Linked DNA regions of Struthio camelus. The protein of the gene in region 1 interacts with the protein of each later gene in a pairwise test. Links are inferred from orthologs where the notes say so. Each region holds a gene or a part of one and is shown in the gene's direction. Other genes may lie near its edges.

The links. The genes of interacting proteins can lie anywhere in the genome.
Region 2: the proteins of CDCA7L (region 1) and CTNNBL1 interact in binary tests that used the Homo sapiens proteins (3 or more experiments, as listed by UniProt). The link is inferred for Struthio camelus from reciprocal best matches to the Homo sapiens genes CDCA7L and CTNNBL1.

The regions. Positions count from the first base shown.
Region 1 is NC_090943.1:36,864,090-36,871,951, reverse strand, and holds the start of CDCA7L (cell division cycle-associated 7-like protein), read left to right. Parts: upstream 1-4,848; 5' UTR 4,849-4,911; coding exon 4,912-4,971; intron 4,972-7,862. UniProt on the Homo sapiens protein: Plays a role in transcriptional regulation as a repressor that inhibits monoamine oxidase A (MAOA) activity and gene expression by binding to the promoter.
Region 2 is NC_090959.1:19,226,458-19,233,549, reverse strand, and holds the start of CTNNBL1 (beta-catenin-like protein 1), read left to right. Parts: upstream 1-4,083; 5' UTR 4,084-4,301; coding exon 4,302-4,331; intron 4,332-7,092. UniProt on the Homo sapiens protein: Component of the PRP19-CDC5L complex that forms an integral part of the spliceosome and is required for activating pre-mRNA splicing.

The DNA.
Region 1 (7,862 bases):
AGATTTTGGCCTTTCTTTTTCACTTACTAGAGGATTTGCAGAGCAGGAAAAGAGGATTACAATTCCTCTCAGCAGAAAGTAATCCTTTTAAGTTAGGTACGTCAGCATTCATTGAGAAGTGTGGGAAAGTGCATGCTACTTAAAATGCTTGACAGGTCTCAGAGAAATGTGGTGGCAGGAAGATAGGACTGAAACCCCCAGTCATGATTACAATGGCTCCCCAAATTAGAGACTTTTGGAGGGAGCAGTGAAAACAGCTCAGGAGTGAGGACTGATTTTCATGTGCATCTAGTTTGGTGAAATGAGAGCATCAAAGTCCAGAATTATAACCTAGAATGGTATTTATTCATTTGAAATTAACGGTAAACGTACTTTTCATTTACAAGGCCACTTCAGAGAGATGCTGGTCCTATGATGTAATTTTACTGTGCATCAAGTATGTTACTGAGGTGGCCCACAAAAATGAATCGAGCTGCTATACTTGATACATACTCAGAGCAGCTAATGATTCCTTCAGGACATGCTGGTTTCGTTCAGAAAGTTTTAGTCCGATTATAATGGTCACCCTAAGCCCGAGACAGAACTTACTGCTATGAGTTTCTTTACATAATTCAAGAGTGTGAAGTCTGGACTGAGACATTATCAGCAATGCTATCACAGAATGAGGAGCAAAGAGAGGCTATTCGGGACCCAGCTGTTGCAAAATAATTCAGGCTTAATATATAAGGTTGAAGAGGACCTAAAATCTAGCTGTATCTCATCTGAGGAGCTGATGAGGTTCTACTGACAAGGCAATAGTATGAAAGCTATTGGGGGTTAGATACACAAACTTTGAAAGGAGGTAAAGAAAATGGGCAGAAATGCAGTAGCAGAAAATCCACACTGAGAAGTATTTGAGATACAGCTGCCATCTAATCAAACCAAGGCAATTAAAGAAACCCAACTCTAAAAGAGCAGCATAAAGATCAATATCTGACACAAATGACTTGAAAATGCTGGGAAGGAGAATGATTGTGAAAGTATAAAATGAAATGGAAAGTTAACAGAAAAAGAGAAACAAAGCAAGAAATTGCATAAAATAGCACAAGATACTATTGGGCAGTTCCTAATGTATATGCAAGAGCACAATAGTCACATATCTCTGTTATAATCAGAATGCAATTTTATTCAGTCTAATTTAGCACAGGACAGCCAACACAATCGTTTCAAATCTGCTGTTCACAGTCTGAGCTAGTGTCTTGACAGCTTTTAACAAATGAAGTGCTTCACACTGTAAACTGTTGGGGAGAAGCAAAAGAACGAAAACCAGGGTCAGCAACAGAATACATAAAATACAGATCTTCAAGGAGTATATGGGCTACGTGTTATTATACAAGTGATTTTATACACTTTCATATTTTGAAAAGTCTACGTTCAATTTTGCTGACATTATATGTAATTCCCATGCTTTGTCTTCTACTAAATTCCCTTTTCCCCTCCTCCCTACCTCATCCACAAAGCTTATTCCTGTACCCTGAGTGACAACCGCAGGTGTCTGCAGTGGATATTGCAATGCAAACCAGTATTTAAATAGCGAGTATTTAAACGGTTCTTTGTTTGCATGTAACTACTTTTCCTCAGATCCAGTTCTAACAACTACTCTCTATATGGCTGGAATATAAAGGCTTGGAAGTACTTTGTGGCTCAGCTCGGTAGTCCACCTTGGGACTCAAACAGCGTGTGTTACACTGAGGATCAAATACCATACTACAAGGAGAGGCTCTTCTTCCACTTTTGTGGGGGGCTTTTCAGAGAGCAACAGAAGAAGATAATTTCTCATCTTGTCTTTTCACTTGCCTACAGGAAAATTACATTTGTGAGTCTTATTGTAAGTCAATTACACTACACTACACTATTTAAAAGTCCTAATCAGGATTGGGAACCCATTGTGGTAGGCAGACTGCACAATGAATGTTGGAGCCCTCCCTAAACTAAAACATATACACAACAAGTAATTTGATGGCATTCAGCAAGTATTAAAATAGTCAAAGAGTTCTGGATTTGTTACTCATGTGGTAATTCACAATTGGGTTTGAAGGTAAGCTACAGAGGAATACAACCCATTCATCTTTTTTTTTTCTTTAATTAATGCAAAACTACAAAGACAGTTATCATGGGCCTATTTCATCTAGATTACATAGCAGATGAACGTGTTGCTTTCTTGGTCCAAATGTCCAGACCTTATCCCACACCCCCGGGCTTAGAGAGAGCCAGTGAGCATTCTCCTGTTTTCCCTGATGTCAGAGAACAGTGCAGTTAAGAGGTCATACATGAATTTTATGGAATTGCAAGTACTGGAGATATTCCATTGCCAGTTCTGAGAGGGCTTTATACCCGCGAACCATTTGCAGAGCCCATCCCTTTGAGATCACTGATCAGGGGTTGGCAACAGCCACGGTTGGAGAGGATGGCTGCAGCTGCGAAGATGAGTGGTACTCTCCAGGGCCACCCAGGAAGAAATTTGCAGACTGGGGAAAAGGAGGGGAACTTTTAAAAATGTAGCCTAAATGCAAGAGTTCAGTTACATGCATATTGGGAATTATACTTTTCCATTATCAAAGCCACAACAGGAAAATATAATCTCAGCAGGTTTCTGTGACCTGTTTCATGCTGCACTGAGCAATCGAGGAGCCACAGTGTCAGTGGGACAGGGAGAAGCTGCGCAGGAACCTCCGTCCCACCATGCAGTGCGCTCACTGGGGACCACGATCTCTGGGACATGGTCTCTGCCCAAAGGGCTGTTTTGCTTATGGAATTATTCAGTAATCACCAGATAAAAGGTGCCTAACCTAGTACTAATTTGACACCTATAATATCGTAAATTTTTACAAAAATTAGAACTCCTAACCAAGGAACACAGGAGGCCATTTGGAGACAAGTAGAAACATAATAGTTTCTCTGTGTTCATGTTCTTTTTTCTTCCTGCTAGCTGAAGTCTGGAAGAATATAATAAAATAGGAATTTGTTTTAGGAAAATATAAATTGTGGAAACAAAAAAAAAAGATACATGTTCTCACTTTTTCCATCTTTTATTAAAATACTCTAACTTGGTCTACTTTGCACCATTTTTAAATTTGAATTCCTCTAGATCTGATGTTGAAGGGGGGGAAAAAAAACCCCAACAGGTCATATGCTGCCTCTTTAGACTTCACTTTGCACCGGCGCAACAACTGGGAGTTCAAGGTACCCCACTTGAAAAGCTTGGCAGCGCTTACAGAAAGCACTTAAAAATTATTTCCATCCGTCTTTCTAGCGTCTTGAAAAACGCGTGTACTTCACGGCTGCGTAATATGAAACAAACAAACAAACAAACAAAAAAGGATGAATTATTTGGAGGATCAGCGCCTATTCGGTCAGCCGGCAGCGCTCCTTTGCCCTTACCCGCCGGTCCCGCGTGAGCGCTGCGCTGCGGGGAGCGACCCGGCCCGGCCCGGTCCCCGGGCAGCCGAGACCCCGCCGCCGCCGGCCGCGCAGGGGCGGAGGGAGGGCACGGGCTGCCCCGGCGGGTCGGGTCGCGGCCCGGCCCGTCCCCCGCGCCTTTCCCGCCGCCGCCGGGCGGCTCCACCCCGCCGCCTCGCCCGCCTCCCGCTGCCCGCGCAGCCGGCGGCGGCGGCGCCCCCGCGCTCCTCCCCGCCCCTCTCCTCCCTCCCGCTCCCGCGCCCCGCAGCAGCCGAGCGGCGGCGGCTCCGGCTCGCGCGATGGCGCGGCGCGGGCGGCGGCGGCGGGCGGCCGGCCGGGGGGCGGCGGCGGCGGCAGCAGCAGCGGCGGCGGCGGGCCCGGCGACGAGGGCGGCGGCGACGAGGGCGGCGGCGACGAGCCGCGGCAAGGTGAGGCGGCCCTCGGGGGCGGCGGCGCGCGGCACCGGCCGCCCGCGCCCCCTCCGCAGGCCGCGGGGGCGGCGCGGCGGGCAGGGAGGGGACGGGGACAGGGACGGGGACGGGCCCGCGCTGGGGCACGGCCCGGCCTGGCCCGGCCGGCGCCCGCCACGTGGAGCGGCCGCCGCCGCCGCCGCCGCGGGCTCTGCGCCGTCCCCGGCAGGGGCCGGCGGCGGCGGCGTTGGCGGCGGCCTTTGTTCGCCCCCGCCGGCGGCGGGCGGCGCGGGGGAGGCGGCGCTGCCGGTCCCGCCGCCGCTGGCGAAGCTGGGCCCGGCCGGGAGGCGTTAGAAACCCTCCTTCCTCCCCCCAGAATACGGCGAGCGGTGCTGTTTTGGGGGCAGATCCGGCCTTGGCGGGGCCCCCTATCCACGTGGCGCGGCGGGGCTGCCGCCTTACCGTGCCCGGGGGTCGGCGGCGGCGGCTCCTCCCCGCGGGGGGCGGCTCTGGCCCGGCCCGGCCCGGCCCGGCGGCGCCGAGGCGGTCCGGGGGCGAGGGCGGCCCGCGCCGGTGTGCGGCCGGCCGCCGCGGTGAGAGAGCACCGCGCCGTTTCAGGGGCGCTCGTGCCGTCCTGGCGTTTGTAACGTTTGGGAGCGTTGTGTGGAGCTTGCTGGAGAGGAGCGTTTTTGTTTTTTCTTTTTTTTTTTTTTAACGAAAAGCCTGCTCCGGAAGAGTGGGAGTTGTGGCTTTTTAAAATAGCGCGTATTTTCATAATTCTGTCTTCTCTTGTTTTTGTTTGAAAGTGAATTTATGTCCTCGCAAGTATGCGCAGCGCGTTACGGGCATCGCCTGACTACCTACGCGTATTGGTAGCGTTGGGGGTTTTAGAGCTCCAAGGACGAGCGTGCTGTGATCTGCCCACCTAAGGGGGGTCTTGTGCAGGTGCGACACATGCCTAGACACACCAGGCTGCTTGTGTGTTTGCCGTCTTGGTACATGCTGGGGGGAGGAGGTGGAACCAGCGTTTTAATCGCTTTTGCTGGAAGAAGGTTTGAGTTTTATGTGGGTTTCTGTGGAAGAAGAATCGAGGGATGCTGTAGAAAGACCGAAGCACTGGATGGTACGTGTGTCCTGCGTGGTACTTGGTAAACTTTCCACCTCTGTGTAGCCAGTTCCTCAAGTTCTCCACCTGCAGAGTGGGGATAAGGGCGGCGGTGCTGTAAAAGGCTCACTGTTTGGAAAGCGCGTTGAGAACCTTTGATTGGCAAGGAGCAATAGACGTGAATAGCACTAACTTGTCATAGCTGATGCTGTAAAGAGAGGCTCTTATCTGCTAGGCACCTTTCTGCGGAAGAGCTAAAAGCTAGCACGTTATGTTTCTTTTAAGGCTCAGCAAAGGGGAGAAAGAGGCGGTCTTTTCTGGGTTCCCGTGTTTCTCGTGGGAGCTCGTTTTTGACTGCGCAGGGCCTGTGGCCTTCCTCTGGCTCTTGCTCCTTTTTGTGCCGTGCTAGTTGGCAGTGGGTTTGGTTCTGGCTGAACCAGAAGGACTGAGGTTTCCTTGCCTCCCTGAAGTGATGTGTCATCTGCTGGCTAGGAAGCTCGTTTATAAGTAACTGCGTGTCCCCGTTGTAAGTAATTGCCAAGTAAGCCAGTAGTACAAAATTACTTTGAATTGCAAGATCAGCAGTTGGGTCTGTTTCCCATTCCAAGGTCTAATATAAAAGATTTTTGTACGGCAGTTTCAGTATTTGGAGTTTGTTAAAGGGGCCCTGGTTAATTAAGCTTTGGCACCCAAAAAGCCTGGACATTGGCAGTCCGGACATGAAGAGGGGACCGGTCACATGCCTGAATTTCCATGAAACAGCGCAGCGGTCTCTTGAACCGTGGTGCCTGTTTCTATTTGTACCGTTAAAATATACATAGTGCCCAACTCCTTGAGCCAGTGACATTGTATAAAGCTGTTGCGCTTGGGTCTCTGGGACTCAGAAAACAATTAGAAACCACAGATAAAAGAGATACTCTTGAATTATGCAAAATTAATTAGGCAAAAGCAGTTACTACTGTTTGGATCGGTGAGAGATGAGATAGTACAAAAGAATAGTTAGTAGCAGTAGACAGCATTTGGACTGTGTTCATATGCTGGCATGCTGGTATTTACATTGTTATCAATTGTTTTGAAAAGTATGGGATAGTTTTCACGTAGTTGCCTATAAGTGGTAGTATTTTTAATAATTTGCCATACGCTCATGATAAAAGTTAGGCACTCTTTATTTTAGAATAAAGTAGCTTGATGGTTTTGAGCTTATTGAATTACTAGTTTTAAGTAAAGCAGCGTAGAAACTGTGCTTTGCTAGTCTGAACATGGCCCAATTTACGAAAATTTCATGGAATACTTTCTTGCTTTCCACCCTGTTACCACTGGTGGTGGGAATACTTCAGCATCCAGCAGGTTTCAGGGTTTTGTGCTCTGATGCTTTTGAGAATTTGCTGAAAACTCCTGGTATCCTCCCTGGTTTTCTGCCTTTCCTTTTTTCTTTTTTTTGGGGGGGGAGTACCTTGTGTCTCAAATTGTTCAGATGGTATTCATAGTCAGTATGATCATGTGTGTAGTTGTGTGATTCCTCCCCACCATGACACATGACTTTGCTCCTGCCTTTCCTTTCTTCTGCAGATGTTTGTATGAGGTTTAAAATGGAGCTCTCGTACCATGCTATTCACCATTGTGGTTCCAGTAGAACGACTATGGTTGTTCTGCAAATAGTTGCAAATAGTTTTGGTTTTTTGGTTTGGCACCTTTCAGCGTTCTGGCTGGTCTCTCTGTCCTTGTCACGCTGGTGATAATTGTCACCCTGGGACTGCCTCTCTGTTCAGTTGTTATTTGGGGGACACGTGCTGAATACAGTGCCTTTGACCCTTGGGTAGCGTCCCTATGGGCTTGCCTGAATACCGAGCCCTGAACATGTCAAGAGATCTCCACGGCGCTGGCTGAAGATGTGATTTTAAACAAATTTTGTTTTTATAAATACTCATTTGGGGTTAAACTAGGATTATTTCAGCTTGACTGAAATGAATAAATAGAAAGTTTGAACACTACTGAAATTATTTGTTCTGTGCTTGAGATAGGAACATCCATTACATTGTGTAAGCTTGAATGAGGGGAGGATGTTTCAGTTGATTTTTTTTTTTTTTTTTCATGGTAGAATCAAAAATAGAGAATTACCTTTCCTCCTGCTTTCTCATACTTAACATCCTCCTGACAGTGTGTTGTTACAGAAAAACATGCCAGTGTAGAATAATTGGCAATGAAGGCAATATTTAAAATCGTTGAGAGATATTTGTGGAGTGCAAATAACTTAATTTTCATGATTTCCACCAAAACAGAGGGTATGCATGCAAGCATTATCTTTTTTTAGCCTGTCAAAGCACCAGTGTGCAGAAGGGGAAGTTGCATCTGTTTTGTATGATCAATACGTTTCCTTTCTTAATTGAGATACTAGAATTCTTACTGTTGATGTGCAAAGTAAAAAATCTCACCTAAAGCTTTTCTTTTTCTTTTTAATTGCTTAACAAGATAGGTGAAGTTTGAGGGGATGGCAGTTAAAAAAACCACCTTGTTTTGACTGTGGCAACATCAGATGTCTTACTGTCTGTCACTTGTGTTGAATACAGGAATGTCACTGAGCAGTTTCTAATGTCTCTCCCAGCCTCGTTTTCTGTCTTCGTCATTCTTTGCTTTTGGTGACGGGTCTGTCAATTTGCATGGTACAAATGAGCTAAGTTCTCTCAGTTCCACCAGAACAGTAATTCTCCTCAGTCTGTCCGTTTTGGGTGTCCTTTTGGGTACGCTGGCAGTATTTTATTATTTCAAATTTAGAGAAGGTGAAACAGAGTTGAGGGTATGTTGAACTTGATGATCTTCTGCTGAAAAAACATACTTTGGCAGAGTTATTCTGGGAATTGTTGAATTTTATACTGTTTGTAGCAAGGAGTGTTTTATTCTATTTTTGAAAA
Region 2 (7,092 bases), on another chromosome or scaffold:
GCTACAGTCCTTCCAAATTCTCCAGTCCTTTCCTGCAGCTTTGCAACGTGTTTAGAGGCTCCCTAGGAGAGGCTGGCATTGGGCCCCATTCAGAGCCCATGCTGAGGACGCTCTGCTTTTCTCCAGCCTTTCATTTACTTGAAGGTTTTTTTATACTTGATCTTGCTTCTGTTTCTGCTTTTAATTCAATATTTTGTCCCTGTGCTCCAACTCCCTTTATTGGATAAAAACACTCTGTTATTGAATCCTGCCCTGCAGCGGCTTGGAGAGAATTGTGTTTCCCGGACAGCAATAAGGTTGTTTTGGAGTGTTATGAGGCCGAGCAGAGCACGGAGACAGGAATAAGTCCAAAAGGAACCAGTGGTTGCTGACAGTTGTTTCAATGACAATTGCATTGCACTACGCTTTGTGGTTTCACACTCGACCTCTCCCTTTCACCCAGCACCCCGCGGGCTGACAGCGCAAGGAGCTCAAGGCAAGAAAATAGAAGCAAAAGGAAAGCTTTTGCAGGTTATTTCTAGGCGCTGTATGGAGACAGAGAGAGGTTTCAGACACAGCCTGGGGACCAGGGACATACGAGCCAAGATCCTTCCTGCGGCAGCGAGGCACCACTCAGCGCATCTGCAGGACGCCCGCCTGCCCTGCGCTGCAGCGGCCCCTCGGCGCTCCAGCCCGAGGAGCCCTGCCACAGCAGACGCTCCGGCTTCAACCTCGACCGCGTCCCGACTGCTTCCACTGTCCTGCCTGCACAACGCAAGTGATACGAGATGTCGGAGCCCAATGTTTGTTTTCTGTTACTGCCTTTCAGTGCCTTGTGTTTTCACGATTAATTTGCTCTCTCAGGCACACCGTTGGCAGTCTGTACCTCTGCTGGATTTTCAGCTGTCAGGGCCAGAAGAAATAGTACCTGAAGATTTGTGCCTTTCCCATGAGGTTGTAGATTTCTGGTTATCACATTTTATTTAGGATGGTAAATGCAGCTGCCACTTCTCAAATTCATGACTTTATGTTTTTCTGAATATCCTCACTGGCCTGCACAATATTGCCAAGGAAATGAACTAACTGATTTACTCTTTTCTATTCCTTTGCCTTCTGAGGTGAAGCTTCAGCTGGGAGTTATTGGGGCATTGTTAGACTTATTTGGGTCGGGCCTTTTTTTTTTCCAAATTGAAGAATAATTCTCTTTCGCAGCCTGTCTTCCTCCTCTCCAGTGCCGGACAGAATTTCCCAGTCTCCATTCGCAGACTCTGCAGACTGGTGCAGTCAGCAAAAACTTGGCTTTGCTGTGGAACTGCACAAGCAATATGGGCTCGTGTTTTTCTCTTCAGAGACACAATATCAGTGCCAAGCAGGAGGGAGGAATGTGACCTTGCTGGATACCCTTGTCTCCACTGAACCACTGGCTCGTTAAGTATCCTTTCGACACAAAGACCTGATGGCGATAAGCTATTGATTATTCTCCTAGTGTACCACGGTATTTGGAGGTGTTCCAGTGTGAACCACAGTCCTGGCTGTCAAATGCCTCTTGAATCCATGAAGTCTGACAGGAGCTGAGGTGTTGCCATTCGACACTTCGTTCAGCAATTTCCTTCGGAGGGTAATTTGGTGAACGTGTCACCTTTGGATTGGACCTCTGCCTCCTCTTTAGTTTAGTATCAACCGCTGCCTTCAGGTAAAGGTGCTATAGCCAAAGACAGCTCCTGGCTCTGAAAAACCTTCCAAATTGAGGGCTGAATGACAGCCCAACACATTCTTCCCAGAGAAGGCAGTCTGCGGGGTCCTAACTCCCCCGCTGCTGTTTCCCTGGAGGCCTTTTCTGTCTCCATGGCTAGAGCTGCAAAGCAAATAGGTGCTTTGTATTCAGTAGTGAATTACTACATGTAAAGTACTCTGAAGCCAGCAAAGTCTACACAAATAAAAATACTATTAAAGCAGTCTATGATTTGGCAGCTTAGTTTTCCTATGACTTACTTTATCCTTCTGCCAACATTGCATACGGAGGTCCTGATTCTGCATTTTCTGAACTGGCTGCCCTCTGAAGTGTCTCTTTTACTTCCAAGGCTAATGGGATTTTTTTTTTTTTTGGGGGGGGGGGCAGTATTGTAGCTGGAATGTTACCTGCCTCACACTGAAGCTACAAGGCTCAATTTATTTCTATGTATCTACCACTTTGAGAAGTGTGAGGAAAATATATGTTCAAAGTGCTATTAAAGAGTGAAAGGAAAAACATAATTTTAGGGAGATAATATCATTCAGCAAGAACAAAGGCAAAGGAACGGAATGGAGAGAAGAAACGTTGGAACAGCAAAAAGATCATGTCTGATGTTGTTACGTCTCCTGGGTTTATGAAGCTTCTGTCTGTAGATCGAGGGTCAGTTCTTATCTCCTTCTGTATTTTATTTATTTTACAATTGCTTATGTCTTGTTTATCACCATCACTTATCAGGCTTTCCAATAACTGTATCATGTTCACAAGTATATGTCAATACTCCTAGAATGACTTGTGAATGTTTTGGCTTCACAGCTGGTGAATTATCTAAATACTCAATAAAAGAAAGCCAGATGATCCAATAATTACCCTCTATTTATCTTGTCTTTAAAATGCAGATTTGTTGAGTTAATTTCGTCATGACTGATATGTCCTATAGTTTATTGAAACCACAGGGGACGCTATGGACTTCTTTCGTTGAAAACATTATATATATTTTCAATTTCATGAGTATTCTCAAACCAGACTCCTACTGAGATAACTGTGTAATAGCTGCAATCATTATGTTATGAAAAATTATTTAGCTCAAAGCTGTTTTTTAACGAATAGTTGAAATATATTCAATAAGATTTGGGCCAAGTTGACTCTTTCTTAATTATTCATATTTGTTAAACTGAAAAATGCGTCTATCGGTGGCTTTGCAGTTTGTTGAATTACAAAACTATTTGTCATGATCTTGAAAAACAGAGGGATTGTTACATCCCCCCTGCTGTACTCAGCACTCAGATATTGGCCTGTTTTCAAGGTGGCAGTGGTTAATGATGCTGTGTATAAACAGAAATGTGTTGCCAAAAAATGTTGGCTACAGACTTTGATATTTCCTAGCCTGTCTCAGCCCTGGGTAGGATTTGCAAAAGGCTACAGAAACAGGGTCAGAAGAAACGACTGATTTCAGGTGCCTCTGCTCTGCAGCGAGGAGCTCCGGAGCCGTGAGCGCGCTTTGCTGAAGTGCTGAGTTTCCTCAGTCTCAGAGCGGCTTCAGCTCCCAGCGTGATACGACGCAGGGCTCCAGCGGCTGCCAGACACATTGAACAAACATGAACTACAGCCTTAGCGTCGCTGCGTGCCCCACCGGGTCACGCGTCCACACTGCTCCCTCCGCAGTTCTGCGGGTAGATACTGGATGGGTTTAGCTTGGATGCTTCTTTTTTTTTGCGCCAGCAGCAAAGTCCTGATCTTAGGGGAGTGGGAGAGGTATGAGAGACATCCTCTTTGTATCGGGAATGCATACGAGTATTTGTTGATCTGGTAACTATTGTAGCGCAGCTGCCAGACTCACATCTGCTGGAACCCAAAACAAAAGGTGCAGCCGGCTCCCAGACACGCGCCTGAGAGCACAACAGCAGGGCCCAGCGTGCCAGGATGATCTCATCGCCTCTCGGAGGAGGTATAGCACGGCTGCACCAGGGCAGAAACGGGTAAACGAGGGCCCTGGTGCGGAGGGTGGGCGCGGCGCGCCCGGAGCTGCAGGAGCCGGAGGCAGGCGGGCAGGCGCGCTCCGAGGGCCCGCCTCGCCATCTCCTTGCCATGCAGCGCTGGCACCGCTGGCTCCCGCCGCCCGCTCCCCGCCGCCGCGAGGAGCCGCGCTTGGCCTCGCCGGGCTGCCCGCTCCGTGGCGGCCGCGGCCCCGGCCGGCTCCCGAGGCCCCCTTCCTCCCTCGCGGCCCGGCTCGGGCTCCATCCCGGGGCGGCTCCCCCCGCCCGGGGCTGCCCCGAGGCCCAGCAGGCCCCGCCACGGCCTTCCCCGCCGCACCGCGGCTGCCCTGACCTCTGACCTCCGCCCTTTGCCCTCCGCCCTTTGCCCTCTGCCGGGCTCTCCGGCCCTCGCATCCCCCACCCCTGCCAGCACCCGGGGCTGCTTTGCGACAGTGTGGCGCTCGCCCGCCTCTCACTTTCCGGCAGCCAGCCCTTCACCCTTCCCCTCCCGCCTCGCTTTCCGGTGGAGTGGTGCCCTCCCGCCTTCCCGTGGCGCCCTGCTTTACGGCGCGGTGTCGCGCAGCCCAGTGGTCTGCGGCGGTTGCCCGGTGGCCGCCATGGACGTGGGGGAGCTGCTCAGCTACCAGGTGAGCGGCGCCGCGGGGCAGGCCCGGCCCGGCTCGACTCGGCCCGGCTCGGCTCGGCCCGGCTCGGCTCGGCCCGGCTCGGCTCGGCCCGGCTCGGCTCGGCTCAGCTCGGCTCAGCTCAGGCGGCTCCCGCCCGCCGTCGCCGGGCCTGCCCGGGCGGCCGCGGCCCAGCGCCCCGGCGCTGCTGCGGCCTGGCGGCCCGGCCCCTGGCCTCTGGGGGCGGCGGGGAGGCGGCCTCGGTCCCGGTCCCGGTCGGGGAGCCCGGGTGAGGGGTCGGGCCGCGAGGCAGCTCGGCGGGGGCGTGCGGAGCCCGAAGCGCCCCAGGAGCCGCGGGCGGCGCCGAGGCACGGGGGAAGGCAGTGCGGCGGGAGCGCCCGGCGCTCCTCTCCTCTCCTCTCCTCCCCGGCCGTTGTGCTCGGGGGCTCCTCGGTGTACCTTTCCCCCTGAAAAAGGGGGCTTCTGATCCCGCTCGGTGCACCACGGCGTCCGTGAGCAGCATCGCTCGGGGGGGGCGTGTGGCTGCTCTGCCTTCCGCGGCTGGTGGGGACGGGGCCGTGCGTCCCCGCTGACCTGCGCCCCCACCTGCCCCTGAGGTAGAGCCTGTGCTCGTTCTGCGACTTGCGTTTTCATTCTTCCTTTTTCTTGCCTGTTTCGCTACAGAAGCCATTTGATATCATTTCTTATTCAAATCTTTTGAAAAAGTTTTCCTATTTATAAAACTTTCTTTTTATCTTATAAATATTTTTCTGCTCTTGGTGTACGATTGTGTTTTATTGAATATGTGGAGGCTAATTTGTAAGTAGCTGTGGTAAACCACTCATTTTTTGTCACAGCTGTAGATTTATAGCGTTCTCCTGTGGATAAGTGAATGACAAAAGTGATTTGTAATAACGTTTTAATTTCTCTGTTATGATTCTTATACACAAATACTGTTGACTTGTACTTTTATTCCTAGACAAACTGCAACAACGTACTTTCCCTGCTGAATCAGTAGGTAAAATAAAAGCATTCTAAAATCAAGTATTGAAATTGTTGTTGAAGGTGTTGTGTTGGCCTTGTGCTCTTCTGGTCTCTTACCTGAATACAAATGGCTTCCTGTGTCAGTAGGTTAGGTAACGCTTCAGAAGAAGTGCTGGATTTCTGGCATCATTGAACTCAGACCTCCAGAATTAGGCAGAAGGGTGAATACATGTGAGATAGGTGGGGGAACAGAAGGCAGATAAATAGTTATGATTTTGTGAAGGTGAGAATGCCTTCTGTGAAGGGGCTTAGGGCTGAAACTTAGAAACAGAAGTTGCAAACTACAGGTTTCAGCTGCTTCCATCCTAGAAAAGGTCAGGTACCCGCCGCTGCTGTCACAGGAAATGGCAGAATAGGTGCCCTCGCACCAAAAATATAAGTTTGGAAATGTACGTTCTACTCCACTGAACAAGTAAAATTCAAAATAATCCAGCTTCTATTCTGTTGTGACTGTGCCACAGAGAGGGTTCTGCCTTGCGCGTGGCAGAATGAAATCAGATAGATGAAGTGAGCATTGCTCCAAGCTGTCTGCTTGACAGAGCTGCTGCTCCTGAGACAGGGATGACTTAGTAGCTCATAAAACAGCTCCTGAACTGCTCCAATTTTCTATCTGATGTTTTAAGTTTAACTGGATTTGAGGTCAGGGTGCTTTCCTATATCAGACTGAAAAGCATGCTGGTTCAAGATTTCTTCATTCATCCTTGCTGCTGGGGTGGCAACTGCTGTCAGAAGAGTGGGCTAGATGATGGGTGGCGTGCGCTTCAGCTGTCTGATTTTTTTAATCTGTTGCTGCAGATGAGTTGCTCTTAGCTTCCCTCAGCACAAACCACAATAATTGCTTTTCTCTTATATTGTTTCAAATTTGTCTCCTCTAAACGTTTAATCTGTGCCCTTGATTAATCAAGAAAATGTTCTCCCTTAGTGTCAAACTTGGCATGGAAGATTTCAGGCACTGTGCTGCCAGTTCAGCATCAAGCGTTGATCAGAATAGGAAAGGGAACATCTTGCAACAGAAAATACAGTTAAACAGACTCCAGCACCTGGCAGTTTATACAAAGCTCAGGAATCCATAAACTTTATGTGTTGTTGCAAAACAGTTGCAGATGGTCTAAACTGCTGATTAAATGTTGCTGCTGTTCTGCCCAGAAAGACTGCCCAGATCCACTGTGTCTGGTTTCTGATTGCAGTGGGTAATTAAGGGGGACAAAGCCATCTCTGGTTATTTTCAGACATCTCTTTCAGTTGTCTTGGGAGGGGGGGAAGGGAGATTATTTTAGTTCTTGTTAAATGCAAATTTCATTACAGTGTGGGGTGATTACAAATTGCTATTTTTTTTTAAAATGAAATATTTGTAAAATCAAACAAAGGGAAAAGCAGGAAAATATGAGATAAGGTTTGACTTCACTGAGTTGGGCTGTCTTCCTGTTTGATTTCGTTAAATGTAGCTTGTAGTGGAATGTATCCCTATATATCAGTGCAGGTGCAGACTAATTTCTGCTACTGGTATAGATAATTTACTGTAAACTTGCTAACATAATGAATGCATTTGATGGTAGAGGCAGTTCAGTTGACTTGTAGGCTGTTGACTACTTACAACCTTATTACCCTAGCAACTCTTGTCATGCCTTCTGTTTAAAGTTATGAGCAGTCATCAGCATCAGCCTCTGTGTTCTCTTCAGATTGCCTGTTCGGTGCTTCTCCAGACTGCCCGGAGCTAGAGTGCTCTTTTGGTTAAGTTAGT